Linked DNA regions of Stegostoma tigrinum. The protein of the gene in region 4 purifies or fractionates together with the protein of the main gene of each other region. This does not show direct contact. Links are inferred from orthologs where the notes say so. Each region holds a gene or a part of one and is shown on either strand. Other genes may lie near its edges. The genes, in order: pdrg1, pfdn1, pfdn6 and pfdn4.

Region 1 (7,404 bases), about 11 Mb from region 4:
GAAGAGAAATTAGAATCATCATTTCAAATCCAGTGATACTTCTTCAGAACATCCTTTTAGATATGTCCCTTCTCACCTTAAACTTATGCCCTCTAGTTTTGGAAAGCCCCAGTCTAGGGAAAAACCTTGTCTACTCACACTATCATGATTTTATGAACCTTTATAACGTCACCCCTCAACCTCTGATGTTCCAGGGAAAGTAGCCTCAGCCTATTCAGCCTCTTCCTATAGCTCAAACCCTCCAGCCCTGGCAAGAAGCTTGTAAATCTTTTCTAAACCCTTTCAAGTTTGACAACATCTTACCTATAGCAGGGAGACTAGAATTGCAGGCAGTATTCCAATAGCGGCTAACCAATGCCCTATACAGCCACATGACTTTCCAAATCCTATACTCAATGCATTGACCAATAAAGGCAACCACATCAAACGCCACATTCACTATCCCATCTACCTGTGACTCCACTTTCAAGAACTATGAAACATGACTCCAAAGTCTCTTTGCTCAACAACACTCGCCAGGACCTTACCACTTAGTTTGTAACCCCTGCCCAACTTGCCTTTCCAAACTCCTCACATTTATCTAAATTAAACTGTACCTGCTGCTCCTTATCCCACCAGCCCATCTGATCAAGATTCCATCGTACTCCCAGGTAACCTTCTTCAGTGTACACCACGTATTTTGGCATCATCTGCAAATTTAATAACCATGCCTACGTTCACATCCAAATCATTCATACAAATGACAAAAAGCAGTGGACTCAGCACTGATCCTTGTGGCACACCACTGGTTACTGGCCTCCAGTTTGAAAAGCAACCCTCCACCACCACCCACTGTCCTCTACCTTTGAGCCAGTTCTGTATCCAAATGGCTAGTTCTTCCTGCATTCCATATGATCTAACACTGTTAGCCAGCCTACGATGTAAAACTTTGTTGAACGTCTTAATGAAGTCCACATAGATCATGTTCACCACTCTGCCTTCATCATTCCTGTTCTTTACTTCTTCAAAAAAAATTCAATCAAGTTAGGTTAGACACACTTTCCACACACAAAGCCATGTTAAACATCCTAATCAGTCCTTGCCTATCCAAATACATCTAAATCCTGCTCCTCTGTGTTTCTTCTCACTGATCTATAGCTCCCTGACTTTTCCTTACCACCTTCTTCAAATAGCTAATCTCCAGTCTTCCAACACCTCATCTGAGGCTATTCATGATATAAATATCTCAGAAAGGGGCCCAGCAATCACTTCTCTAGCTTCCCAAAATGTTCTACGGTACATCTGGTCAGGTCCTGGGGATTTAGCCACCTTTACGCTGGAGCAGTTCAAGAACAGGTTGGTCTCATGGCCAAGTTGAGTTTGGTCAGGCCATGATAGGAGACAGGAGAGAAGGTGGGGAAGGAAGAAATAACAGGGCTTGGGTATGGAAGAGCATCTGTTCCAGTTTGTCTCAAAGAAAGAAAAAGTGGCAGAGGTAGGTGATCAGATGATCTCAAACTTAGTGATGAAATATCCATAAATTTGTGGTAATCACTGCAGTTGAAAGCTGCGGAAACTGGTTACAGTAGAGGAAAAAGCCAGGTGTTATCTATTATCTCCAAGATTATCCTGGAGTAAGCAACTTTCAGAAAACAGCAGGACCAGATAGGAGCTTATCTGGTCCAGCTTCATTTAGCGGTAAACGACTAAACTAGGTTTCTGCCAAATCCTTTCAAATGCTCATGCCTCAGAACATAAGATACAGGAACAGAATTAGGCCACTCGGCCCACAGAGTCTGCTCAGTGATTTGATCATGGCTGATATATTTCTCACCATTCTCCTGCTTTCTCACTATAACCCTTGATCCCCTTAACAATCAAGAACCTAGCTATTTGTCTTAAATACACTCTATGATTTGGCCATCACAACCTTCTGCAGAAGTGAATTCCACAGATTAAATAAATCTCTGGCTGAAGAAATCCTCCTCATTTCAGTTCAAGAGTGTGCGTTAGAGTCCTAGTCTACTCCTACTAGTGGAAACACCTTCTCCATGTTCAGTCTTTCCAGACTTCTCAGCATTCTACATGTTTCAATAAAATTCACATGTCATCGTTCTAATCAATTGAGTTCAGACCACTCTTCACATAACAAGCCTTTCATCTCTTGGATCATTCTTGGAAACTTCCTCTGGGCCCCTCCAATGCCAGCACATCCTTAGATTGCAGGCCCTCAACTGTTAACAATATTACAAATGTGGTCTCACTAGGGCCCCACACAGCCTCAACAGTACATCTCTGCTCTTCCAGAAGTAGAAAGGTTTGCAACTACCCTTACAAGACCCTCATTTAGGAAGGGTAGAAATTAGTCAAGGTTGCTCCCATTATCCAATGCATTATGTTTTTCTGGTGAGAAATATTTCTCTAAGTCCTTGACCCTTTTACTCTGATACTTGAGTTGAGTAATCTATTGACATGGTGCATCTTTCTATCTATCTTAACATTTCTTTTTTAATATTTTGTCATTAAAAATGGTAACCAGAACATGGCAACTTAAACACTTCTCACCTGTATTTTCCCAAATACAAGTGACAACAAATTACTATACTACACAGACTGCTAGCATTGCATTAGCCTTCCTAACTGCAAATTGAACCTACATGGTAACCTTAAGAAAATCCTGAACTAGGTCTAAGTCCCTGGGTAGGCTGACATTTAACACAAACACATTTGATGATGGCCCTATACCCGGCAGGGACACTTGGTGCCAGGTCCAGTAGTAAGCGCAGTATAGGCATGGTCAACAACGAACGTTTCAGCGCCGACGATCCACGCCAACCCAACCCGAAACACAGGCCGCCATTGTACCTGCTGTTTATCAGCCAGCAAACTCTCCGCCAGCTCCTCCACCTCAGTCAGATAGTTCACCACCTCCTCCTCCGGCTTCCGCGCCATCTTCACCCTGAACCAACTTCTAACCGTCTCCGCCCGAGCTGTCAATCAACAGAGCTCCACCCGTTTCATTGGCGCTGCCCAGTTCCCCGTGTGATTGGTGAATATACTGCCAATCAACGGTATCTTTTGTGACGAGACTCAACCGCGCAGCATCCTGGGAATTGAAGTCCTTTCTGGGCTTCTTCCAAACGATCCAGCCCACTATAATAATAAAATGTGAAGCTGGATGAACACAGCAGGCCAAGCAGCATCTCAGGAGCACAAAAGCTGACGTTTCGGGCCTAGACCCTTCATCAGAGAGGGGGATGGGGAGAGGGAGCTGGAATAAATAGGGAGAGAGGGGGAGGCGGACCGAAGATGGAGAGTAAAGAAGATAGGTGGAGAGAGTATAGGTGGGGAGGTAGGGAGGGGATAGGTCAGTCCAGGGAAGACGGACAGGTCAAGGAGGTGGGATGAGGCCCAGTTCGTCCCCTCCCCCCACTGCACGACACAACCAGCCCAGCTCTTCCCCCCCACCTACTGCATCCCAAAACCAGTCCAACCTGTCTCTGCCTCCCTAACCGGTTCTTCCTCTCACCCATCCCTTCCTCCCACACCAAGCCGCACCCCCAGCTACCTACTAACCTCATCCCACCTCCTTGACCTGTCCGTCTTCCCTGGACTGACCTGTCCCCTCCCTACCTCCCCACCTATACTCTCTCCACCTATCTTCTTTACTCTCCATCTTCGGTCCGCCTCCCCCTCTCTCCCTATTTATTCCAGCTCCCTCTCCCCATCCCCCTCTCTGATGAAGGGTCTAGGCCTGAAACGTCAGCTTTTGTGCTCCTGAGATGCTGCTTGGCCTGCTGTGTTCATCCAGCCTCACATTTTATTATCTTGGAATTCTCCAGCATCTGCAGTTCCCATTATCTCTGATCCAGCCCACTATTTAGGTTCAGTCCTTTTCTCCTTTTCTGTTCTAAGTGTTTCTCTGGCTTCCTCTTCGTCACTTTAACCATCCTATGTGGCAGTACCTTCCTCGTTTTGACCACTCTCTCTGGATGAAAAAGTGAATCCTGAATTCTTACACGCAGAGAACGCTGGAGAAATTATAGCAACATTGTTAACGTTTGAAGTCCAGCACTGGAGGGTTTGAGTTATAAGTAGAGGCTGGAACTTTATTTCTCCCTGGCCAAAGGAGGTTAAGTGGTGGCCTTATAGAGGTTTATAAAATCGTAAGGTGCATTGATAGGGTGAATAGCCAAGGTCTTTTCACCAGGTAGAGGAGTCCAAAAATAGGGGGCAAACGTCTAAGATGAGAGAGGAAAGATTCAAAAGGGACCTGACGGGCAACTATTCCACACAGAGGGTGCTGCAGATTTGGAACGGGCTGTCAGAGGAACTGGCATGCAAAATTACAACATTTAAAAGACGTTTGAACAGGTATATGGATAGGAAAGGTTTAGAGGAATACAGACCTGACATAAGCAAATGGGACTAGTTCAATCTAGGAACCTGGTGAACATGGACGAGTTGGGCTGAAGGGTCTGTTTCTGTGCTGTATGACTCTAAGATTCTAACCTTATTTAATTTATTTGGATGATCATACATTCTGCTGCAACTGGAGTTTATCATCTCTATGACTTCCCTTTCATAACTTAAAAACCTCAAGGTCTTTTTTCTCGCGGAAGAAAATCTACACATTCAATGACTGCTGACAGATATAAATGCTCAGCTCTGGTATTATTTGTGTAAATCTTTTTAACATTTTATTCAGTGTCTGTAAATCCTTTGTATGACATTACCTCAGTTCAGGTGTTACACTTGTTAATCTTTATTTGCCTTTATATGCTTGGTACCTTTATATTATTTTTATAATATGGAAAGCAGAACTGTTCACAGTATTCCCAATCGCAATTTAACTAAATTTCAACAAATCTTCATAAAGAATGTTATATCTCTGCTTTTCAATTTTATCCCTTATGAAACAAACTCCTGTGCTTGGTTTGTGCTGTTGTGGATTTATTAATCTGTATTAATAATGTCAAAAATGTGTCTGTCTATAACTCCAAAGCCTCTGCTCTCCAATCCAGTGAACACTCTTTTCTTGTTTCCAGGCAATATGTACTCTCTCTATTCCTCATCCTAAAAGATGCTGTCTTATACTTATCAATGTTCAATAAGGGTTTCAAATAACCTTTCCAACTTTTCAATATTATACCTCTTGAAATAAAGACTCATGTTTGATTTTCTTCTTTTATCACCTTGCTAACCTATGGCCTAACTTTAGTGATTTGTGCATTTGTAATTTTGTTATTATTCATTAATGGGATGAGGGCATTCGCTGGCTAGGCAGCATTCATTGCCCATCCCTAATTGCCCAGAGAGCAGTTCAGAGTCAACCACATTGCTGTGGGTCTGGAATCACATGACCGGACCAGGTAAGGATAGTAGAGATAATAGGAACTGCAGATGCTGGAGATTCCGTGATAACAAAGTTTGGAGCTGGATGAAGACAGCAGGCCAAGCAGCATCTTAGGAGCAGGAAAGCTGACGTTTCAGGCCTAGGAGGGCAGTTTTCTTCCCTAAAGGACATCTTGAACCAGTTGGGTTTTCAATGACAATCTGCAATTAGATTCCTAATTCTAGATATTTTTATTGAATTCAAATTCCACCATCTGCCATGGTGAGATTTGAACTTGGGTCCCTAGAACATTATCTGGGTGTCTGGAGAAACATTCCAGGGATAAATACCACTAGACCATTGCCTCCCCCAGACTGACATGTTCAATTCTTCCTACCAGGCTTTGGAAGGAATGCATCTGGATAAAGTATGAAGTTTTTGTCTCCTTATTTAAGAAACCTGTCAGCATTATACTAGAAGCAATTCTGATAAGAAAACCCATTCAACTCAGATCTGGGATGAGGTGTCACCATATAAGGAAAGGTTGAACTCTGTCAGAGGCGTCCATAGGAGTTTAGAAAACCGAGAGGTAATCTTATTGAAATAGCTAACATCCTAAGGGAACTTAACAGGTGGATTCTGAATGGATATTTCCCTGTGTCAGAGAGAACTAGGGGACGTGTTTCCAAAGATGGAGATGAAGAGGAACTTTTATAAAATACTTGAGCATTATGGGCATGTGAAACTCTTCCCTATAGAATGGTGGAGGCTGGATCTTTTGAACATTTTTAAGGCCAAGGTGGAAACATTCTTAAGAGCAAAAGAATTAAATGGTTTTGGGAGCAAACAGTTAAGGGGAATTAGGGCAACAATCAGATCAGTCATGATCTTGTAAAATGACAAAACAGATTGAGGGCCCTAATCCTGACTAACTTGCATTTTCTGATGTATGCTTGTGTTGTTGCATCTCACACTTATCTGTGCTAACCTTCATTTGTTAATCATATATCTATTCTTCAAGTTCCTTTATTTCATTGCAGTCCCCCTTTAGTTTAACTACACTGCTTAATTTGGTGTACAATTACAAATATAAGGTATTATCCTTTGCCTGTTTCATTCTGCAGTTGTAAAAGCCTTAGCGAGAACCATATCTTGAGTGTTATATGGAAAGATTGATTTGGTCCATACTGCTTAGAATGTAGAATTATGAGAAGTGATCCATTAAAACATACGCAATCTTAAAATGAACTGATATGATAGCTGCTGAAATGATTTTTCTCTGACTTGGATGTGTCTACATAGCTTTCAAATAAGGGGTGGGACAATTAAGACTGAGATCAGGAGAAATGTATTCCTTCAAAGGGTTATTAATCTTTGAAATTCTTTACCCCAAGGAGGATGTGTGCTTAGTCCAAGATTCGTCAGAGATCCATAGATTACTGTGTACTCAAGGAATCGAAGGATATTGGAAGAGTATGGGAGATGGAATATGAATAAGTAGATCATCCATGATCGTAGTCAATAGCACAGCTGGCTCGAGAGGCTGAAGTAATCTACTCCGGTTCCAGTTTCTTAAATTGTTATGTTTAGCTCATAGTACGTGCTGCAAGGCGACTACATCTCCCAGAGTGCACAGGTACGGACACTTTATAAAAGCTGTGGTCGAAGGGGGCGCTTCGCTAATGTGAGCCGGGAGCTGCAGAGCAGTGTCTCGCTAATAGTTGCAGAGCTGTATCCTCACAGCCAGCCCTCCGCAGCATTGACACCCTTATTCAACAAACAAAAACCGAGCTTTACAACTGTCTGCAAACACCCCGTTCGCTGCAGCATATATAAAGAGATCAACCGTTCTAAATTCTTCTTGTAGTTGATCTTGGAGTATCTCCCAGAAGAAACCAGCGTCCCCTAAAAACAGCAGGAGCAACAATGAGGGAAATTCTGAACATCCAGGCTGGACAATGCGGGAACCAGATCGGAGCCAAGGTAAGAAATCCGCCATCAACAATATCCAAATCGTTTCCGTTCATAAAAATACACAATGCACATCATTTCTGTCAATCGAAACGATACTCGAGTCCGTATTTTATAAA
Region 2 (7,290 bases), on a different chromosome or scaffold from region 4:
TTGTCCTTCTTGATGATAATGGCCATGTCTTTGAAAGGTATATTCGAAGCTATCTTTGAGAATTTCTGCAATGTGTCTGGTGGTGGATGTGGTGCTAATCAAGCAGGCAGTTTTGCTGGATGGTGTCATGCTCCTTGAGTTATTGGAGCTGCACTCATCCAATTAAGTGGGCAGTCACACCATCACAATCCTGACTTGTGCCTTGTTGACCATGGATGCCAATTAGAGTCAGGAGTTGAGTTACTCTCTGCAGGGTTACTAGCCTCTGAACCTGTAGTTACCCACATTATTTATATGGCCAGTTCAGATCATTATCTGATAAATGGGGCCCCAGTTTGTTGACAGTAGGGTTCAGTGATGGTGGTGCCATTGAATGTCAATGGTCAACTTCTCTCCTGTTGGGGGTGGTCATTGCCTGGCAATTGTGTGGCATACATGTTTCTTGCCACATGTCAGTCCCATACCTGGATATTGTCTACATCTTGCTGCATTTGGGCATGGGCTGCATCAGTACCTGAGGAGTTGTGACCGGTGCTGAACATTATGGAATCATCAGTGAACACCCCCCACTACTGATCTTATGATGGAGGGAAGATCATTGATGCAGCAGCTGATGATAGTTGCACCTGGGACATTAACCTGAGGAACTTCTGCACAGAATTCCCGAAGTTTAGATGACTGATCGTCGACAACCCCAGCTATCTTCCTTTCTACCAGGGATGATTCCATTCAGTGGAGAATTTTCCTTCTGATTCCCATTGACACTAGTTTTGCTATGGCTCCTTGATTTCACACTTGATAAAATGCTACTTTCATATCAAAAGCAAATGGTCTCACTTCACCTCTGGTCAGGCCTTTTGTCCATGTTTGAGTCAAGGCTGTAATAAGGCCAGGAGCCACGTGGCCCCGGCATAACCCAAACTGTGTCAGTGAGCAGTTTATTGCTAAGCAGGTGCTGCCTAATAGCACTGTTGATGACACCTTCCGGCACTTTGCTGATGATTTAAAGTAAACTAATGGAGCGTTAATTGGTCAGGTTGGAATTGTCATTTTTGTGTACAGGACACACCTAGACCATTTTTCACAGTGTAAGGTAAATGCCAGTCTGGCAGCTCTACATGGAACAGCTCAGCTAGGAGCAGACCAAGCTCTTTACTATAAATATTCAGCACTACTGCCAGAATGTTGTCAGAGCCTGAAGCCTTCAAAAGTCATAAAAGAATGGGCACTTAAGTAAAATGTTGGAAGGCTGCAGGTATGCAGTGAACTGTATTACGGACTGAGTTAATGTCACTAAGAAAAGAAGGCAAAAGATAGAAGAAAGATGTTTTTGATACAAATTACTTATGAATATGAATGCCAGCAATTGGAATGTTCTGCCCGATGGCTGTTCTCTTTGTGCATAACTTAGGGCTTTTCATATTTTGGAATCTTCAAGACGGTCTGTGATAACCTCTTAATTTTGTCGTGTCAAATATGACATTTGTGCTACACCTACTCATTTCTTCGTGGCTTGCAGTGAGACAATATACTTTTCATGTGGTCTAGCTGGAACTTTGATTCTTAAATGCAATAGAGACCTCCTCCACAAGCAATTAGAAGGAAAATGTTTTGTGTACAGGCCACAGAGAATGCATTGTCTAAACATTTAAATTAAATGCATGTAGCGGTAGGTTTCAAAAGATTTTTAAAATGCAGTTTGACATTGTGCCGTAGTTGCACCATCTGCGGTGACAAATCAAATTAATCCGATCTTTAAATTTACAGTACAACTTCAGTAATACTTGAACAGTGAAAACTGCTTAGTAGAATGCTGATGTTGTACTGTGAATGCGACTTTAGATATTTTTTTGTCAACGCAGCCTGTGATGACTTCTAACTCCCAAAATAAAGGTCAGCTGTAATTAACTTTACTGCTGTAGATTGGATTTCTCTGAATACGTTCACCAAATTCATAGGAAATGTTTTGCTGGCACAAGAACATTCTGCTTGATTGAGGCCAACTGGGGTTTTTCCAGAATGATATATAGTAAGAAACTGCTTACTTTCTTCATGAACAAAGTGGTTGTTCATCCTGTCCTGAAATCCTGAACTAGAGCAGTAAAATTGAACAATGTCACAACAAGTTAGAAATTAGAGTAAATCTTTCCTTTGCTCCTACCAGCTTTGACATGAGCTATCACAGGAAGTGAACCCTGGTAACATGAACTCTGAATAACAATTAGTCTTGTATTATAAAGTTATAGTAATGAGGTTGGACTCACTTATGCCCAGTTAAAGGTTGCAAAATACTGACAACATTCATATCACACTACACTGAAAAACGAATTTTAAATGTGGTGATGACATTTGAAAATTTTTTGGTTATGAATGGAGAGTTCCAAACACTCATAACCATCTGAGAGCAAGGCAAGGAGACAGCTCATTACCGCCTTCTCAAGAATACTTAGGAATGGACAATAAGTGTTGTTTCAGCCAGCAAAGCTCACATTCCATGTATGAGTCAAGGAAAACATTATGCAGAGAGGGTGTAATGCAGTCGACGACTTTCTTGTTCAGCTGGTAAGTTTGTTTGCAGACGTTTTGTCATCATACTGGGTAACATCATCAGTGTGCCTCTGGTGCAACGTCGGTGTTCTCTCCCGCTTACTATTTATATGTCCCACTTTCTTGGTATGAGTGACATCACTTCCGGATTTGGTTCTTAGTGGTTGGTATATGGGGTCCAGCTCTACATCATTGTTAATGAGTCCTGGTTTGAGTGCCAGGCCTCCAGAAATTCTCATGCATGTCTTTGGTTGGCTTGTCCTAGCTTGGCTATGTTGTCCCAATCGAATTGGTATCCTTCTTTGTCCAGGTGTACTGAAATGAGTGATAGTTGGTTATGTCTCTTGGTAGTTAATAGGTGTTTGTGAATCCTGATGGTTAGTTTCCTTCTGGTTTGCTCCGTATAACGTTTTTGGCAGTCTTTGCATGGTATCTTGTAAATAACATTGGTTCTGTTAGTTGTGGTTGTGAGACCCTTTCTTTATTATCAGTAGCTGTCGCAGTGTAGCTGCCGGTTTGTGGGCTACCATGATTCCTAGGGGGTGGAGTAATCTGGTAGTCATCATGCAAAGGCTGCCAAAAACATTTCATACGGCAAACCAGATGGAACCTCCCCATCAGGATTCACAAACACTAACATTATCGCTACACCGCTATCTTTTCCTGCTGTAAAGTACTAGGGCAGCAGATATCTTATGCAAACTCAGGAAGTGATTGGGTGGAGGAGCAACGTTATGCTGCTCATGTATCTTGAAGACGTGGTAGGATTGCAGTAATGTCAATGGTCTAGTAAACCAGAGGCCCATGGCAACGCACTGGGGAAATAAAAGCTGAAAGAACTGTGGATGCCATAAATCAGGAACAAAACAGAAGTTGCTGGAAAAGCTCAGTAGGTCCAGCAGCATCTGTGAAGAAAACTCAGTGTTAATGTTTCGGGCCCAGTGGTTCTTCCTCAGTATGTAATGCACTGGGGACATTTGTTTGAATCGCCACTACAGAAACCGATGGAACTTAAGTACAATTAATAAATCTTGAATTGAAAACTAGTCTCAGGTAAGAATCATGAACAAAAACAAAGTTGCCGGAAAAGCTCAGCAGGTCCGGCAGCACCCGTGGAGGAGAAAACAGAGTTAATTTTTCGGGTCCAGTGACCCTTCCTCAAAACACAGGATCATGAAATAGTCCTTGATTGTTGCAAAAACTCACCTTGCTCATTAATGTTCTTTAGGTTGAGGGAAATCTGCCATCCTTACCTGTTTTGGCCTATGTGTGATTCCAGATCCCATTGGAATGTGATTACCCTTTTAACTGCCCTCTGAAAAGGGCAAGCAAGCCACTCAGTATAAAGTGCAATAACAAATGGACAATAAATGTTGACCGGGTCAGTGATACCACAACCCATCATGTTAAAAAAAAAACTGGCTTCCCAATGTTTAAATTGGTGAAATAATGCTGCTTCATCTGGATGATGTTATAACAGGAAGTGATTCTATATTGAAAAAAAGGTGGTGCTTTCACTAGGGAACAAGAGATACCAATTACTTCAACAAAGCGTCACTTCCCTTAGAAGGTTAACCTGACAGAAAACCAGGGTCAAATCGTATCTTCTCAACTACCTAATCAACATGAACCAGTTGTTTACAAAATGTAGAGAAACTTAAAGCAAACAACGTGTCCAAAGATTGTGGAGACCTCAGAACTGCGCCAGTTCCGGCACACAAGCCTGACTGTGCACATGAAGGGGCTATGAGAACGTGAATACACCATTCGGCTACTTCTGTGGACGGAGAACAGCGGTAGCGTTTCGAGTCCGATGTGACTTTTCTTCAGAACTCAGGAACTTCCTAAACACTGACTTCTGACTCGAAACGTTAGCTCTGTTCCTGCATCCACAGACGCTGCCGGAGCTCAGAGGAAGGGTCGCTCGACCTGAAACCTTAGCCCTGACTTCTCTCCACACGGATGCTGCCAGACCCGCTGAGCTTTTCCAGCAATCTCCGTTCCACGTCGCTGCTGTTTGTTTTTTAACTTCAGGTTTCCAGCATCCGCAGTATTTTCACTTTGATTTGATAAAATGAAATCGGAAACCCGCTTCAATCGAGCATTGTTGTGTGATATTAGACGGGACCCAAGAATAAAAACCACATGACAGTGCACATCGAACTCTCTCGCTGCTCCTCCTCCTCGCCGCCGGTAAGGAGCGGTCTGCGCATGCGCTCATCCTCTAAAGATGGCAGCCCCCGTGGATCTGGAGTTGAAGAAGGTACAGGAAGACACAGGGGTCTCATTGCTTCGCGTTTTTATCCTTTTTTGATGACCGATCGCTGGCTTTAACTTTCTCAGAATAAAAGGCACATGTTGTGGGAGGGTTTTAGCATTGATTTGTTTTCGGTGGTTATTAAAAGTGAGTGGTTGGTGCAGGCCTGGCTGCGCTGGAAGTCTTGCCCACCCTGTTGAGTTGAAAATTTGCCATGTGTATAATCCATAGACAGCAATAACACGATTTCTGACTTATTTTGGAGTGAGATATTTCTAGAGTGTTAAAGAGTACAAGATGTTATCACTTTTGTGTACTGTTGAAATGCATTTATTTTCCTTCATGTCAGATCTTACCTGTTGTCTTAACGATTATGGTTTACGCCTTAATATTTTAAAATTTTGGAAGCGCACCACAACAAGTAAGTCAGTACGATCGGTATCTGGACAAATACCGATCATTTTGGACGGGTTTGTTCACGGGTCGTCTGTTTTAAGTGTTCCTATAAATGTTCAGATTTTAATTTCCTAAAGTGTTTGTAATATTGTTTATTATCTGAATTAACAGAATTTTTATTTTCTTGTCAATTTCTATCACACTCAGCATGGTTAATTCGGCAAACTCACTTTTTAAAGTAGACAGTTCAAAGACCTTTGTGCTCAGAGGACGATGCAACAATAATCAGTTATTCAGCAGTTCTTTTTTAAAAAAAAAACTGAGGATGAGGGTGTCACCCAGAAGGCTGCATTCACTGTTCATCCCTAGTTGCTTGAGAAAATGGTGGCTTTCACCTTGAACTGCTGCAGTGAATGGTACATTCACTGTGGTGTTATATAGAGAATTCCAAGATATAACCAGTAACAGTGATATTTTATTTGCACTGGGATTATGAGTGATTTGGCAATAATGCTTCACTGCTTCTTTTGCTCATGTGGTGGAGGTTTATGGGTGCCAGACTGTTAGTATAACCATGTCGAGTTGCTATTATGCGTTTGTAGACTGAATTTACTGAAGCTAGTGCCTGTGATGGAACAAGTGGATGTGAACCACTGTGCCTGGGGGACCTATTTAGTGAACTGTAGCATTGTGAGTTACTTCCACTATCAGATGTGTGTTAGAATAAACAGTTTATGTAGTAAATGTAAAATTTGTGGGCACAGACTGGATTACATTGAGGTTGCAACGACAATAAAGTCTGTTGCTTGTGTCATCTGGATGCATTAATGCTATTGTATTGGCACAACCAATCGTTGATGGACTATCTTCTTTTCTTTCAGCTTTTTCCCATATTATGTTGGGTCACTGTACTTTAATGTCAGTCATCCTTTGGGATTTGGCAGTTGATTTTACAGCCAGATGCTGTTTCTGTCGCTCACTGTTCTCATTCATCTGGGGGTTGGGAAACTCAGCACGGTTCACCAGGCAAACTCTTACATTTAACCCCTGGCTTGAGCATGTTGGAAGGATTAAACCTCTCATGAATGGCATCCCACCTATGGTAGCTTGACTTTGTGGTTGTTGTGTCGATAAGACTATTTTATTGCAGGAACATTTTTTTTGAAAGACATTGTCCAGCTGTATTACTATTACTACTATAATTATTGATATGCTGTTTAATTTGAATGCAAGATTAAAATAATTAGACCCTTGCCTTTCTATCTTGGCATCCAGGACTTTAGCAGGATTACATTTGAAGTGTTTGGTTTGCACACTGCTGTTCACCAAACTGAAACTCTGTCACGAGTTAATTTACACATGGTTCCGTCATTGGTATTGACTGCTAAAAAAAACTTAGGCTTTTGTGTTCGTTTCTAGAAATTCATGAGAAAAGAAATGAACTGTGGAATCATATTTAATTTCTTATGAATTTCTTTTGAAAAGCTGGAAGTTCAGAGTTGTATGTGAAATTAAGAACTTCAAAAGTGCTTTATATAAGGCTATTACAGGTTTTTAAAGGAATGATAAAGTTGCATGCTTGAAAATTATAGTTAGTGAAACTTTAAGTGAAGGGATTGAGAAAGTAGACAGATTTAAAATCGGTCCTTTATATAGGTACAGGAATAGCTCTCTGAGACTGCTTGGTCATTTATTACGATCATAGTCGATAGAATGCTTTCATTCCTTTTAACCACACTATCTCTATAACCCATTTGCCATTGGTAATAAGAAATGTATCAAACTTTAAATGTACACCAATGAATGGTCTTCTGTAGTCATTTGAGGCAGAGAATTCCAAAGATTCACCACACTGTCAGGACTCATGATTTTTTTGTTACTCAATGGCTTCCTTTTTTTTTTGTTGTACTGCAGTTCTGGACTCCCCAAACAGGATGAACATCTTACCTGCATGCACCCTGTTATCTCCATGAGTGTTTTGTAGGCTTCTTTGAGATCATGTCTCTTCTTCAAAACTTTTGAGAATATGTGGCTAGATGAAGATTCTGTAATTACTCTTAATGTTAATAAGTAATGGTAATTTTGACTTG
Region 3 (7,673 bases), on a different chromosome or scaffold from region 4:
TCAAAAGAGAAGTTGTTGAGTGTGAGGACGAGTTCAGCTAGGCGGATGAGAGTGTCGGTGGAGGGGGCCTGGTCGGGCCTGCGGGACAGGAAGAAGCGGAGGGCCTTGAGGCCACCTCCATGCGGAATGCAGGTGTACAGGGACTGGACGTCCATGGTGAATATGAGGTGTTGGGGGCCAGGGAATTGGAAGTCCTGGAGGAGGTGGAGGGCGTGGGTGGTGTCACGGACGTAGGTGGCGAGTTCCTGGACCAAAGGGGAGAAAATGGAGTCCAGATAGGTGAGATGAGTTCGGCGGGGCAGGTACAGGCTGAGACGATGGGTCGACCAGGGCAGGCAGGTTTGTGGATTTTGGGAAGGAGATAGAAACGGGCCGTGCGGGGTTGGGGAACAATGAGGTTGGAGGCTGTGGGTGGGAGGTCCCCTGAGGTGATGAGGTCATGAATGGTGTTGGAGATGATGGTTTGGTTCTCGGGGGTGGGGTCATGATCGAGGAGGCGGTAGGAGGTGGTGTCGGAGAGTTGGCGTCTGGCCTCGGCGATGTAGAGGTCAGTGCGCCATACTACCACTGCGCCACCCTTGTCTGCGGGTTTGATGGTGAGGTTGGGGTTGGAGCGGAGGGAGCGGAGGGCTGCCCGTTCTGCGGGGGAGAGGTTGGAGTGGATGAGAGGGGTGGAGAGGTTGAGGCGGTTAATGTCTCGACGGCAGTTGGAGATGAAGAGGTCGAGGGAGGGTAGGAGGCCTGGGGGTGGTGTCCAGGAGGAGGACTTGTGTTGGAAGCGGGTGAAGGGGTCAGTGGAGGGAGGGTTGGGTTCCCGGTTGAAGAAGTAGGCATGGAGGTGAAGACGGTGGAAAAACTGCTCTATGTCCGACCGTGACTGGTATTCGTTGATGTGTGGTTGTAGGGGGACAAAGGTGAGCCCCTTGCTTAGGGCTGACCGTTCGTCCTCAGTCAGTGGGAGGTCTGGGGGGAAGGTGAAGATGCGGCAGGGCTCAGTGTGGCTGTCTCCTCTGGGGTTGCAGGCTGTGGAGGTTGTGGGCGGAGCGATGAGGCCGTCGGCTGTGGGCGGGGTTCCGTCAGCCATGGGCGGGGTTCTGTCAGCCATGGGCGGGGTTTCGACCAGGCCCCCTCCACCGACACCCTCATCCGCCTAGCTGAACTCGTCCTCACACTCAACAACTTCTCTTTTGACTCCTCCCACTTCCTACAGACTAAGGGGGTGGTCATGGGCACCCGCATGGCCCCCAGCTATGCCTGCCTCTTTGTAGGTTACGTGGAACAGTCCCTCTTCTGCACCTACACAGGCCCCAAACCCCACCTCTTCCTCCGGTACATTGATGACTGTATCGGCGCCGCCTCTTGCTCCCCAGAGGAGCTTGAACAGTTCATCCACTTCACCAACATCTTCCACCCCAACCTTCAGTTCACCTGGGCCCTCTCCAGCACATCCCTCACCTTCCTGGACCTCTCAGTCTCCATCTCAGGCAACCAGCTTGTAACTGATGTCCATTTCAAGCCCACCGACTCCCACAGCTACCTAGAATACAGCTCCTCCCACCCACCCTCCTGCAAAAATTCCATCCCCTATTCCCAATCCTCCGCCTCCGCCGCATCTGCTCCCACGATAAGACATTCCACTCCCGCACATCCCAGATGTCCAAGTTCTTCAAGGACCGCAACTTTCCCCCCACGGTGATCGAGAACGCCCTTGACCGCGTCTCCCGCGACACATCCCTCACACCCCGCCCCTGCCACAACCGCCCCAAGAGGATCCCCCTCGTTCTCACACACCACCCCACCAACCTCCGGATACAACGCATCATCCTCCGACACTTCCGCCATATACAATCCGACCCCACCACCCAAGACATTTTTCCATCCCCACCCCTGTCTGCTTTCCGGAGAGACCACTCTCTCCGTGACTCCCTTGTCCGCTCCACACTGCCCTCCAACCCCACCACACCCGGCACCTTCCCCTGCAACCGCAGGAAATGCTACACTTGTCCCCACACCTCCTCCCTCACCCCTATCCCAGGCCCCATGATGACATTCCACATTAAGCAGAGGTTCACCTACACATCTGTCAATGTGGTATACTGCATCCACTGTACCCGGTGCGGCTTCCTCTACATTGGGGAAACCAAGCAGAGGCTTGGAGACCGCTTTGCAGAACACCTCCGCTCAGTTCGTAACATACAACTGCACCTCCCAGTCGCAAACCATTTCCACTCCCCCTCCCATTCTCTTGATGACATGTCCAACATGGGCCTCCTGCACTGCCACAATGATGCCACCCGAAGGTTGCAGGAACAGCAACTCATTCCGCTTGGGAACCCTGCAGCCTAATGGTATCAATGTGGACTTCACCAGTTTCAAAATCTCCCCTTCCCCCACCGCATCCCAAAACCAGCCCAGTTCATCCCCTCCCCCCACTGCACCACACAACCAGCCCAGCTCTTCCCCTCCACCCACTGCATCCCAAAACCAGTCCAACCTGTCTCTGCCTCCCTAACCGGTTCTTCCTCTCACCCATCCCTTCCTCCCACCCCGAACCGCACCTCCATCTCCTACCTACTAACCTCATCCCACCTCCTTGACCTGTCCGTCTTCCCTGGACTGACCTATCCCCTCCCTACCTCCCCACCTACACTCTCTCCACCTATCTTCTTTACTCTCCATCTTCGGTCCGCCTCCCCCTCTCTCCCTATTTATTCCAGAACCCTCACCCCATCCCCCTCTCTGATGAAGGGTCTAGGCCCGAAACGTCAGCTTTTGTGCTCCTGAGATGCTGCTTGTCCTGCTGTGTTCATCCAGCCCCACACTTTATTATCTTGGATTCTCCTGCATCTGCAGTTCCCATTATCTCTGTCTACCTTTCTGTAGCGCCTGGTACTTCTCCAGCTCCTGCTGCAGCTTCCTCTGGATCCCGTCCGCCATTTTTCACCGAACTCTGACCCCCGCCGCCGTGCGACTGACGTCTCGACGCCTGACCCCGCCCCTGACGCTGACATCACCCTTTCCCCGCTGCCGGCTAAGAACATCACCCTGACCCCGCGCCCGGCACAGACATCACTCTGACCCCGCCCCCGGCTGAACATCACCCTGACCCCGCGATAATAAAATGTGAGGCTGGATGAACACAGCAGGCCAAGCAGCATCTCAGGAGCACAAAAGCTGACGTCTCTCTGATGAAGGGTCTAGGCCCGAAACGTCAGCTTTTGTGCTCCTGAGATGCTGCTTGACCTGCTGTGTTCATCCAGCCTCACATTTTATTATCTTGGAATCTCCAGCATCTGCAGTTCCCATTAACCCTGACCCCGCGCCCGGCACAGACATCACTCTGACCCCGCCCCCGGCTGAACGTCACCCTGACCCCGCCCTCGGCTCTACCGTCACCCTGACCCCGCCCCCGACGCTGACATCACCCTTTCCCCGCGCCCGGCACGGACATCACCCTGACCCCGCCCCCGGCTCAACGTCACCCTGACCCCGCCCTCGGCTGAAACGTCACCCTGACCCCGCCCCCGGCTCGAACGTCGCCCTGACCCCGCCCCCCAGTGCATCCCTTTACACCGCCCCCTGCTGTTAGCCACTGACAGCCCCCAGTAATAATTACTCACCCTCCCGGCCTGATCATTACCAGCTCCTTTGCCTGTCCAGCTACTCTCTCTCTTTGGGCTCTATCCCCCCCTGCTCCCCCCGCCACCCTGTCTTCTGCATATAAACTAACATGTTCTTGGCCACCATCAGTTCTGTGGGAGGGTGGACCCGAAGCGTTAACTCTGATTTCTCTCCACAGATGCTGCCAGACCTGCTGAGCTTTTCCACCAACATCTGCTTTTATTTCCTGTCGGGTTTGCCCGGGAATCCTGTATGTTCCGATAAGGTCACCTCTCGTTCCAAGCTCCGATCAGTAGGGGCTCAAACTACCCAACGTCTCCTCAACCCAGGGTCAGACGTGTGAACCTTATCTGGGGCTGTCTCCAGTGGCAAGACCCTGTGAACCATGGCAGCTCCACACCGCCTTCAGGCAAAGCTCCTGCAGAACCCACTGATTGACTGATTGATTTGTTGTCACGTGTGCCTGAGTACAGTGAAAAGCCTTGTTTCTTAGCAGTACCAGCTAGATTGTAGTAAGCAAAGGGTGTACAGATCTAACAACATTTCAACCAACTGGATTCCAAAGAGCATCTCTGCCGCTGGATCCTGGTCTCCCAACTCCGTGATGGTCAGCCCTCATCGAATCAGAGAACCTTGGTTGCAGAAAAAGGGCCTATCGAGCCTGTAACTCTCTGTTTTCTATGAGTTGGTCAATCCTCTATTCATGCTCACATCACCATTGTCAGCAACTACTCGCTATCAGATTTGGTGGGGGTGGTGTGTGTCTGATTGTCCCCGTAAGAAATTCTGTGTCACTGGTCATGGGTCTGTGGTTCCTTGTGTGGCCAATGGGCCTGATCCTAGGGTTGCATCTCCAAATATACATTTGGCAGGTGTTTCCAGGAGATGGGATTGGCCTTTGGCATTTCTTTCTTCAGCTCCTTTTCTGTATTTCCGCTTACCTACATGTGCTTTCTGAGGATTGTGTCCCTTCACATAGGAGTTTCCTCCATTCAGTTTCTTCTGAATGAGGGTCTTCCACATGATAACATTTATGTTGCATTTCTTGAGGCATCTTGGGAAGTCTTTGAAATGCTTCCTTTGCCCTCCTCTTGTTCGTGTGCCTTTCTTGAACTGCGTGAAGATGATTTACTGTAGTAGTCGAAACTCAGACTTCCTAAGTAAGTGGCCAGCCCAGCGGAGTTGGTTTTGGATGACCATGGCCTCTGGTGCTGTTAGCTGCTTCAAGGACATTCATGTTAGTACGTCTGTCCTCAAAATACACAGAATCAATCTCAAACAGTGTTGGCGGTGCTTCTCAAAAGCTTTGAGAGTCTACACATAGTCGACTCTGAGCCATTATAGAAAAGTTAGAAGGGTGATTGCCTTAAATATCTCTTGGTATCAGTATGGATGTCATGGTCATCGAAGACTCTAATCCTTAGATGTGCCAAGGCGATACTCACAGATTGGATGTGGTGTTGGATCGCCGTATCAATGTCAGCCTTAGATGTGACTTAGCTTTCCAAGTAAAGGAAATGTTCCATTTTGATACAATTTTTCCATTGATCTAAATGGTGGGATGGACCAGAATTTTGCCTTGGGAAGGGCTGCTAGGAGACTTTTGAGTCTCCTAAAGGTTGACGCTGACACCAATTCATTGGTATGATTCCACTAAGACATTACGAGAGGCTTGAAAATTCTCTTCCGAGACAGCAGAGATGAGATTGTCGTCTTCATGCTGAAGTTCGACAAGCAAGTTGTAATATTTTCAACAGACAATAGGTGCTGGAGTAGGCCATTCGGCCCTTCGAGCCAGCACCACCATTCATTATGATCATGGCTGATCACCCAGTTTGGTGTCATATCCTTCTTAAATTTCAACTGACTGAGGTTGTCTATCCTGTAGACAATGTCCGCATTACTGAGAAGTTTGTTCTTAATAAGGTGAAGATTGGTAATGATGAAGATGAAGAAAATGGCAGCAGTGATGATAGACAGTAGGAACTGCAGATGCTGGAGAATCCGAGATAACAAGGTGTAGAGCTGGATGAACACAGCAGGCCAAGCAGCATCTTAGGAGCAGGAAAGCTGACGTTTCAGGCCTGATGAAGGGTCTAGGCCTGAAACGTCAGCTTTCCTGCTCCTATGATGCTGCTTGGCCTGCTGTGTTCATCCAGCTCCACACCTTGTTATCTAGCAGTGATGATATCCTGTTTGACTTCGAAGGCCACTTTTGGAATACAGCGTTTGATTCTGGTCTCCCTGGTACAGGGATGATATTGTAAAACTGGGAAGGGTTCAGAAAAGATTTAGAAGGCTGTTGGACAGCACGATGGTTCACTGGTTAGCGCTGCTGCCTCACAGCTCCAGGGACACAGGTTCGACCCCACCCTCGGGCGACTGTCTGTGTGGAGTTTGCACATTCTCCCCGTGTCTGTGTGGGTTTCCTCTGGGTGCTCTGGTCTCCTCCCACAGTCCAAAGATGTGCAAACTAGCTGGATTGGCCATGCTAAATTACCTTGTAGTGCCAAGGATGTGTAGATTAGGTGGATTAGCCACAGGAAATGTAGATTTACAGGGGTAGGATAGTGGAATGGGTCTGGGTCAGATGCTCTTTGGAGGTTCAGTGTGGAATTATTGGGCCAAATGGCTTTTTTCCACACTGTAGGGATTCCATGGATTTGCAGGGTTGGAGGGTTTGAGCTTTAGGGAGAGGGTGAATAGGGTGGGCCTACTTTCCCTGGAACTGAGGGGTGACCTTATAGAGGTTTATAAAATTATGAGGGGCATGAATAGGGTGAATAGAGAGGGTGAATATCGAAGAGCATATAGGGTTAAGGTGAGATGGGAAATATTTAAAAGGGAGCTGAGGGGTAACTTTTTCCCACAGAGGGAGGTGCGTGTATGGAATGAGCTGCCAGAGGAAGTGGTGGGGGCTGGTACAGTTACAACATTTAACAGGCACCTGGATGGGTATATGGATAGGAAGGGTTTGGGGGGATAGGGGCCAAATGCTGGGGAAAGGGATTGGATTAATGTAGAAAATCTGGCTGGCATGGATGGGTTGGATGGAAGGATCTGTTTCCGTGCTGTATCGCACTATGACTCCATTCTCTCAGGTTACCATCAGTGGGGACTGTTTCTCACATCTTGTTGTGGAGGAGACAGAGGATGTTGATGAACTTCACTGGACAGTGTCTTTCTGAACAGTTCCCCATGAATGTAGCGTCCCCAGCACCGAGGGTGCGTCTACCTCATCAAGCACTCTCTGCTTCTTCTCCTGTCCTGCTCAAGGAATTCTAATCTATCTGACAGAGCATCATTACACCTTTCATGAAACCATGTGTTCTGCACAGTCATATTATTCAATGCTAAATGCTCTGCTGTTTATTATCAGCTGGAACATTTTCTCCATTTGGAGTACAAATGGGAAGTGCTGGAGAAACTCAGCAGGTCCGGTAGAATTCAGACAGAGAGAAAAACACAGAGTTGACATTTCGGGTCCAGTGAACCTTCGCCTGAGCTGACAGAGCTGGGGAATGGTGGCACTTATGTCGGGGGATGGGAGTCAAGTATAGAATAAAGTGAATCAGCGTTCCCCCTTCTGCTCCTCTGTCTTATAGTCTTTTCTTCATAGTCTGGCATTTGTGTGGTGTGAATGTCACTTCTTGCTTCTCATTCCAGGCCTTGTTGCACTTGGACACGGACTGTTTCAGTATCTGAGGAGCAGCTGAACATTGTATAATCGTCAGCGAACATCCCCACTTCTGACCTTATGATGGAGGGAAGGTCATTGATGAAGATGGTTGGGCCGAGGACACTGCCCTGAGGAACTCCTGCAGAGATGTCCTGGAACTGAGATGACTGACCCCCAACAACCACCTTCCTCAGTGTCAGGTCTGACTCCAACCACCGGAGAGTTTGTCCCCGATACCCATTGATTCCAGTTTTGCTCAGGCTTCGTGATGCCACACCTGGTCGAATGCAGCCTTGATGTTAGGGGCTGTCACTCTCACCTCCCCTCTGGAGTTCAGCTCTTTTGTCCATGTGTGAACCAAGGCTGTAATGAG
Region 4 (7,804 bases):
ACCTCCCCACTCTTGGATTCAATTTCCCTCACAACAAAATGTAACATTCTGTTGATCCTGATCACTTATTGTACCTGCATACTAACTTTCTATAATTCATGTACTACAACACACAGATCTCTCTGCTTTTAAGAGCACTAAAGTCTCTCACCATTGAGATAAGATGATTATTTTGTAGTTATTTCTGCAAAACTGTTTATTTTGGTACTTTCCCACATTATATTCCATTTGCCAGATCTTTGCCAATTCACTTATCTATATCCCTTTATAGGCTCATGTCCTTTTCAAAATTCACTTTCCTGATTTTATTTATTTATTGTTGCATGTGCGTCATTACAAAATACAGTGAAAAGTGTTGTATAGTGTCACCACTCCACAGCTCCAACTTAAAATACGGAAAAATAAACCAAACATAGAACATAAAAGAAGTAGAAAGATGAAGAAATAAAGAAAAGATATTTAATTTTACGGTCCATCTTGTTAAGTGTTCCACGAAAGGCCATGGCCCTGTTGGCAATGTGTGAGTCTCCTTCGTTGCGTCTCTGCTGCTCGAATGAAAGTTGCCACTCTTGGCACCAATTTGCATCCAGTGATGCTCTTGTCACCATAAGTCCTCAACGGGCCTTGCCAAGGCAGACGCCATTAATGCTGCTGAGTACCACCAGCCCAAAATCGACTCCACCGCCGTCAGGATTGTAGCCAGTAGGCCTGAACTCGCCTCTGCTGCTGCCACCGCCTCCACGAATGTGGGCTGGATGCATACACCGCCAGGAACTCAAACTCACCTCCACCACAGCAGCAATGAGTCACCACTAGGACCACCTTGTCAGAAACCCAAACTCACCTCTGAAGACGCCACATAAGTCCGTGCTGCTGGGCCCACTCGCCACCACCGATGGATGCTGTTACCATGACTGAATTCATCCCAAGAGGTAAGTGAAATAAAAAGGGAAAACAAAAACAACAAGAGGGGGATAAAAGAAAAGCAAACAGAGTAGATGAGCCCTGGACTAAGAAGCCCTACTCCACTGAAGAATGTCTTTCCTGCTTTTGAGTCAACAGTAAACTTAGTTACCATACCTTTGATCTGTTCATCCAAATCATTAATATAACATGTAAAGAAATGAGACCCAAGCACCAGCCCATTTGGTTCAGCATTTGTGACATCCTGCTACCCTGAAAAAAGACTCATTTATTGTAACTCTCTACTTCCCATTAGCCAGCCAATCTTCTATCCATGCATATATTACTGCCAAGGGCTTTTGTTTTTCCCAATAACATTTGATGTGGCATCTTATTAAATGCCTTCTGGAAATGTAAGTACAATACTTTCACTGGTTCCCCTTTACTCAGAGCTGGTACTTCAGATATTGTCTAAGCAACCCATATAGAGATGTTACTACATACCTCTGGAGCAGGTAGGACTTGACCCAGGCCCATAGCTCAGACTTAGAGATTCTACAACTGCAGCACAAGAACCCTAAAATAATTCTTGAAAGAACTCAAATAAATTGGTTAAACATGATCTCCCTTTGACAAACCCATGTTGGCTCTGCCTGATATCCTAAACAACTTATCATAGGATAAGTTCAAGTTTCTTATAATAGCTGCTATTATTACCAATGTTTTGTAAAGTTTCATCATTATTTCCTTGCTTTTATAATGATGCCTCTACTTTGAAAGCACTGCATGTTATTTACCTATAAAACCAATTTCTTAACCAACCTGCCCCTTTCAACAATGAGTGAATGAATGATTGATGATTTATAGTCCCTTGTACTCCACAGTCAATAATAATAATACAGTAAAACACAGTGAAACAGATCAAACGTCACCACATTCCAGCATCAATAAAAAGATAAAGCTGAAAGAAAGTCTATCTTCATTCCAATGCCTCCACCAGAAGTCCTGAGCCTGCTGGCCAACGACTTCTGTCCCAGACCCACCAACATCAGAGATTACATCAGTTCATTGCTAGGCCAATGGGCTGTTGACACCAAGTCCTGTGACAGGACCACAGCTGTCTTGCAAACAGGAACCCCTAGCACCACTGCCTCTGCAGCCACGCCATTAACCAGAAGACCCGGGCTCTGCTGCTAGGCAAAACTGGAAGCATATATTCCTTCAGGTCTCTCAAGGCCCTTTTGGATGTTAATAGTTTGGTTAGTATTGCCTCTTCATTCTGCTAAAGTGCATAACTCTACAGCTTTGAATTTTATCTGCAACTTGTCCAATATGCTAAACAAGTTTGAGAAACTGAGAATGGACTTGAAGGCTTGTGATGCTATGTTGAAGTTAAATACCACGTGGAGGTACATTTCAATCACTTTTCTCCAACGCATTTGCTTTCACGTTTGAGTTCACAGTTAGATGACACGGCTGCTAATATTTGGCACAAATACGTATTGATTTCCCTGCACCAGTTGGGCTTCAGCAAGACGAATGAACCTGAACTCAGAGTATTTGGGCTCAAAGGCTTAAGGTAAACTCTCAATTGTAAATAGGTTGACATTTGACATAAATACTGCTCGTTGGAACACGTACACCTTGAGGCGACCAGACAGGTTGCCATATACAGAAATCAGATAATACCTTCAAATGTATATACGTAACTTGTCCCAGCATAAATACATAGGGACCCATAGAGAAAGAATGCCCTGTACCTGCTATCTCTCTCTCTCGCCTGTTTACTCGTGCTTCACTCTCACATACTGCTTCACTTTTTCTTTCTTTTTTAAAAATCCTTTCAATCTCTCTCTTTCACACACACTTTCTGTATCATTCACCCTCTCTTTCACGCTTTCTCTCACACACACACACTCACCGCTTTCTTCATGGTAGCTGCCATCTTTGCGGACTCTTCCACCCACGTGTTCACCGAAACCGATCCAAACCCCTGTCCCGCTCTCTACCACCAGCCCGTGCAACACACACTCCGTTCCCAGAAGTAAAACATTCCTCTCGTTAAAATAACGGCGGCGCTAAATTTCTCGGAGAAACTCAACATTTACCCGTATCAAAACTGTGGTACCTTCCAGTTAAAGGGATCATCGCTTTTAAAGGGCACGTCGCGGTTCTCTGCCGATATAAAAGTGCAACTGTTCCCAGATAACAAAGTGCGGGGCTGGATGAGCATAGCAGGCCCAGGAGCATCTACGGAGCACGAAAGCTGACGTTTCGGACCTAGACCCTTCATCAGAAAAGCAGAAAATGCATCATTGAACACAGAACAGTTACAGTACGGTACAGGCCCAGCAGTAAGAAAACAAAAAACGAAGAAATGCTGGAAAAGCTCATCGTGTCTGTGGAGAGAAATCAGAATGAACGATTCAAGTCCAGGGACCCTTATTCAGAAGTCAACAGCAAGAATTGGTCTTAGTGAACACTGTTCCAATTATATAATATCAATTCTAAAACATATAGAAAAAACATTCAGAGAAGCCAGAAGGTGTTTTCATATACATGTATATACAGCAAGGGGAAAGTAATTAGCAATTAGATCCTTAAGAAGTAGTAGCAGAATGTAGCTATTGAACCTCTCCAGTCTGCTCTACCATTCAGTTTGATTACAAATGATCAAACACTCCTCATATCCATTTTCCTGCCCTTTCCCCATAGCCTTTGGTCGCTGTATTGATAAGAATCAATCTACCTTGGCCTTAAGTATACACCAGGACTCTGCCCCCACAGTTCTCTGCAGCAAGATGTTCCCAAAGATTCACTACCCTCAGAGTGAAAAAAACCTCCTCATCTTAACTTTCATTGAAGACTTTATTTGGAGACGGTTCTTGTGCTAGCCCCAGAAATATAAGATGCCATCTGATCTCAAGATATGAGGTAAGTAAAAGAAAGCCGATAGGAAAAAGTAACAAGAAAAGTGTAGGTGATGTGGTGTCCCAATGGTTAGCACAGTGCCAGGGACCTGGGTTTGATTCCAGCCTAAGGTGACTATGTGGAGTTTGCACATTTTCCCTGTGTCTGCGTGGGTTTCTGCCAGGTGCTCCAGTTTCCTCCCAAAGATGTTTAGGCTAAGTTGCCCATAGTGTTCAGGGGTGAATAAGTTAGGTGTGTTAGCTGCACGGTTATAGGGAAAGGGTAGAGTGATGCTGTTTAGAGGGTTAGTATGGGCTTGTTGGGCCAAAGTGCCTGTTCCCACACTGGGAATTTGTCCTATTAAACTGAACTGCCTCCAATGAAATATATATTGTCTTAGATGAGAGGACTAAAAGTACAGATAAAATCATTTCAATGATAGAGGAGATAACAAGAGATAAGCAAGCAGTTAAGACTTTATAATGCAGTAAATAATTAGGCTTTGACTCCTTTGTAAAAGTTATGTATTGAACTTCACCTTAGGCAGCTATTAAGTGGGATACATGCAACAAGTCAGACAGGTTTGTCGAGGAAAAGTGGTTTTAATTGTGGGTTTTACCTTTCCATAACATGATAAGTTGTTGGTGCAGAATTAAGCCATTCAGCCCGTGGAGTCCTGAGCAGCATTCAATCATGGCTGATGTGTTTCTCCACTCCATTCTCCTGCCTTCTGCTCATAACACTTGATCCCCTTACTAATCAAGAACCTTTCCATCTCTGTCTAAAAGTCACTCAATGATTTGGGCTCTGCAGCCTGATGTAGCAATGATTTCCAGATTAACTACCCTCTAACTGAATAAATTCTTCCCTAACACAGTTATAAACGGTCATCCCTTCACTCTGAGGACCTTCACTCAGGTCCTAGTCTCTCCTACTTGTGAAAACATCTTCTCCACATTGACTTAATCCAGGCTTCTCAGCATTCTGTAAATTTCAATCCAAATCCCCTCATCCTTCTAAACTACATCAAGTACAAATCTAGTGTCTGCAACTGCTCCTCATATTACAATCCCTTCATCCCCAGGATCATTCCCATAAACCACCTCTGGACCCCTTCCAAGGCTAGCACATCCTTCCTTAGATATTGGGCCCAAAACTGTTCACAGTTTTCGAAATACAGTCTGACCACAGCCTCAGTAGTACATCCCTGTCTTGTGTTCCAGTCCTCTTGAAATGAATACTAACATTGCTTTTGCCTTCCTAATTGCCAACTGACGATGCATGTTAACCTTAAGAGAATCTTGAACTAGGACTCACAAGACCTACAGATACCTGTCTTCTGCCTTTTTTTCTTAAACAGGGGTATTACATTAATTATTTTCATTCCTCTAGCACCCCCCCTGACTCTAGTGATTCCTGAAAGAGCTCACTAATGTTTCCAAAATCTCCTCCGCTATCTCCTTCAGAACTCTGGGGTGTAGTCCATCTGGTCTGGATGATTTATCCACCTTCAGACCTTTCAGCTTTCCCAGCACCTTCTCCTTAGTGGCCACTACACTCACCTCTGCTTCTGACTCTCGCAATTCTGGTGTGCTGCTTGTGTCTTCCACTGTGAAAACTGATTCAAAGAACTTGCACAATTCGTCTGCAACTTCTTTGTTCTATATTATGACTTCTTAAGCCTCATTTTCCATCCTTTCTTACAAGCTTTTTCTATATCCTGATTTATTTTTATTTTGATTGGGATAAATAGATAGATGCATCTGAAAGGGTTAATAATGCGGAAAGCCGTTACTGGCTGTTATATGTCATATGGAATTGTGGAAAGAACAAATTAGGATCTTGAAAGAGTGAATCCTAAAATCTAGTCCACCCCAAAGTCTCTATAACAATGTTGTTCACTTCGATGTAAACAGCTAGTTGCTAATATGCAAAAAAACTATTTTTTTTATACTAGACTCTTCTAGTTATGCCAAGAAGTGGATCTCCTTGTCCATGATGGATAAAATTAGCCCTGTGGTTTCATACATTTCAACAGGATGGTGGCAGCAACTTTCATTATGAGCAGCAGCTCATACAGCATAATGAGCTGGCACGGCTATATAGCAAGCATCAATCAGAAACATAGTGAATTTCTTGTTTGTACTGACAATAGTTTTTTTTGTGGCAATCTGGTGCAGAACAAACTTAAGCACAAAAACATTAAATTTAGAAATGTGTAATGAGTCAAGTTCAGATTAAATATCCATTTAATAATACTAATAATAAAACATTGGGATCAAGTCCATGGAATCCCTGTCTTGAGATCAAATTACAACAATATTCTTTCAAAGAAGCCTAAGCCAATAGCAAGAAACAGTAGAATTACTGATGAACAGATTACATTTCTTTCATTGGCTGGCACCAGCAGTGGTCAAAGTAATGTGCTGCTTTATCATAACTGCAATTTTTGTCTTCTTACTTGGCAGCCCACTCACCTTTCATTACAAGATTCTCAGTGGTTGCAGTAATCTTTGTTTTTATTCCAGATCTTCACAACTGGAGTATTTGACTTCCATTAACAAACAAAACAGATTTGAACTACCACGATAAATCAAAGGTCGTTTCTTGAATTAAAAGGGCTATGTTTTGATGATATGACTCATGATTTCAATGCACAGCTCAGTAACATTTGGGCAACAAACATGCAAAGAGAGCCATGCTTGCACAAGAAATGTGATCCAGCTGACTATATCTGTGCTTATATAATATATCCACTGCCTGATTCACTGTACAGTAGTATGTCTGCACAACCTTACCATCATGAGGTAAATGCCTGTAGCTTATAGGTGACTATCAGAGGATGAGGAGGAGGAAGAGATCAACTTAGCAGACACAATAAGGGTTAATTGTGCATTGCGATTCCTGTTTCCATTTTCTGGGACTAAGTTATTTAGTCCACAGCATTTTAATAAAATTACATTCTTCCAACACATTTGGAGAATAAAGCCGGTTTAAAGATGAACATCAACCAAAAAAGTCGTTAGAAGAAGGTTGAGAGGTGACTTAATTGAAACATATAAAATAATCAAAGGGTTAGATAGGGTGGATAGGGAGAGCCTTTTTCCTGGGATGGTGACGGCGAGCATGAGGGGGCATAGCTTTAAATTGAGGGGTGAAAGATATAGGACAGATGTCAGAGGTAGTTTCTTTACTCAGAGAGTAGTAAGGGAATGGAATGCTTTGCCTGCAACGGTAGTAGATTCGCCAACTTTAGGTACATTTAAGTCGTCATTGGATAAGCATATGGACGTACATGGAATAGTGTAGGTTAGATGGGCTTCAGATCGGTATGACAGGTCGGCACAACATCGAGGGCCGAAGGGCCTGTACTGTGCTGTAATGTTCTATGTTCAAAGCAACTTAATAAAGGCTAGGATTATAAGACTACAAGGAATAGGACCAGGAACAAAGTAGGCTATTCAGCCCTTCAAGTCTGCTGCACCATCCGATAGGATCATTTTTAAACAACATTCCTTGCATCCACTTACCTGAATTCTCAGAATTTTCTACGACTTTCCTCTCTCAACCTTTTGAATAGCCAATGGCAACATGAAATTGTTCCATATTTCCTGAGTTCTCCCTTCAACTGCTTGTTTTGTTCTGAGCACATAATTGCAACTTCCCACCAACCCCACTACAGTTCCCATATTGTGCTTTCCAACTGACATAATGATTATCACCGTCAGATCTAATCTCAGAAGAAAAGCTTTCTTGTTGTGATGTATAAAATGCTGATGGTAGGCACGTGTGTGTATGAACTTTAGCATTGACTTTCAAGTAACTCAGCAGAAGTGCCGGCACCCCACAACTTGTAGTGAAACGACAATATTAATGGAAACGTACATCTGACAGGTTTGTGGAATTTAGAATAGTCTGTATAATATCAGGGGGCCTTCTCATGCTTAGGACACACTCACACAAAGTACTGCTCTTTCGCTGTACTTCCCAG

Evidence for each region.
Region 1: the proteins of pfdn4 (region 4) and pdrg1 purify together in Homo sapiens (co-immunoprecipitation; 3 studies listed by BioGRID and IntAct, counting the BioPlex papers as one, with this or other methods). This does not show direct contact. The link is inferred for Stegostoma tigrinum from reciprocal best matches to the Homo sapiens genes PFDN4 and PDRG1.
Region 2: the proteins of pfdn4 (region 4) and pfdn1 purify together in Homo sapiens (affinity purification with mass spectrometry; 5 studies listed by BioGRID and IntAct, counting the BioPlex papers as one, with this or other methods). This does not show direct contact. The link is inferred for Stegostoma tigrinum from reciprocal best matches to the Homo sapiens genes PFDN4 and PFDN1.
Region 3: the proteins of pfdn4 (region 4) and pfdn6 purify together in Homo sapiens (affinity purification with mass spectrometry; 6 studies listed by BioGRID and IntAct, counting the BioPlex papers as one, with this or other methods). This does not show direct contact. The link is inferred for Stegostoma tigrinum from reciprocal best matches to the Homo sapiens genes PFDN4 and PFDN6.

The regions. Positions count from the first base shown.
Region 1 is NC_081372.1:55,170,700-55,178,103, reverse strand, and holds the start of pdrg1 (p53 and DNA damage-regulated protein 1), read right to left. Parts: upstream 3,001-7,404; 5' UTR 2,932-3,000; coding exon 2,845-2,931; intron 1-2,844. Other genes in the region: tubulin beta chain-like, read left to right, coding at 7,241-7,297. UniProt on the Homo sapiens protein: May play a role in chaperone-mediated protein folding.
Region 2 is NC_081366.1:38,410,669-38,417,958, forward strand, and holds the start of pfdn1 (prefoldin subunit 1), read left to right. Parts: upstream 1-4,270; 5' UTR 4,271-4,777; coding exon 4,778-4,810; intron 4,811-7,290. UniProt on the Homo sapiens protein: Binds specifically to cytosolic chaperonin (c-CPN) and transfers target proteins to it. Binds to nascent polypeptide chain and promotes folding in an environment in which there are many competing pathways for nonnative proteins.
Region 3 is NC_081387.1:28,276,658-28,284,330, forward strand, and holds the start of pfdn6 (prefoldin subunit 6), read right to left. Parts: upstream 3,009-7,673; 5' UTR 2,938-3,008; coding exon 2,874-2,937; intron 1-2,873. UniProt on the Homo sapiens protein: Binds specifically to cytosolic chaperonin (c-CPN) and transfers target proteins to it. Binds to nascent polypeptide chain and promotes folding in an environment in which there are many competing pathways for nonnative proteins.
Region 4 is NC_081372.1:44,346,064-44,353,867, reverse strand, and holds the start of pfdn4 (prefoldin subunit 4), read right to left. Parts: upstream 3,020-7,804; 5' UTR 2,849-3,019; coding exon of another isoform or gene 2,825-2,848; intron 1-2,824. UniProt on the Homo sapiens protein: Binds specifically to cytosolic chaperonin (c-CPN) and transfers target proteins to it. Binds to nascent polypeptide chain and promotes folding in an environment in which there are many competing pathways for nonnative proteins.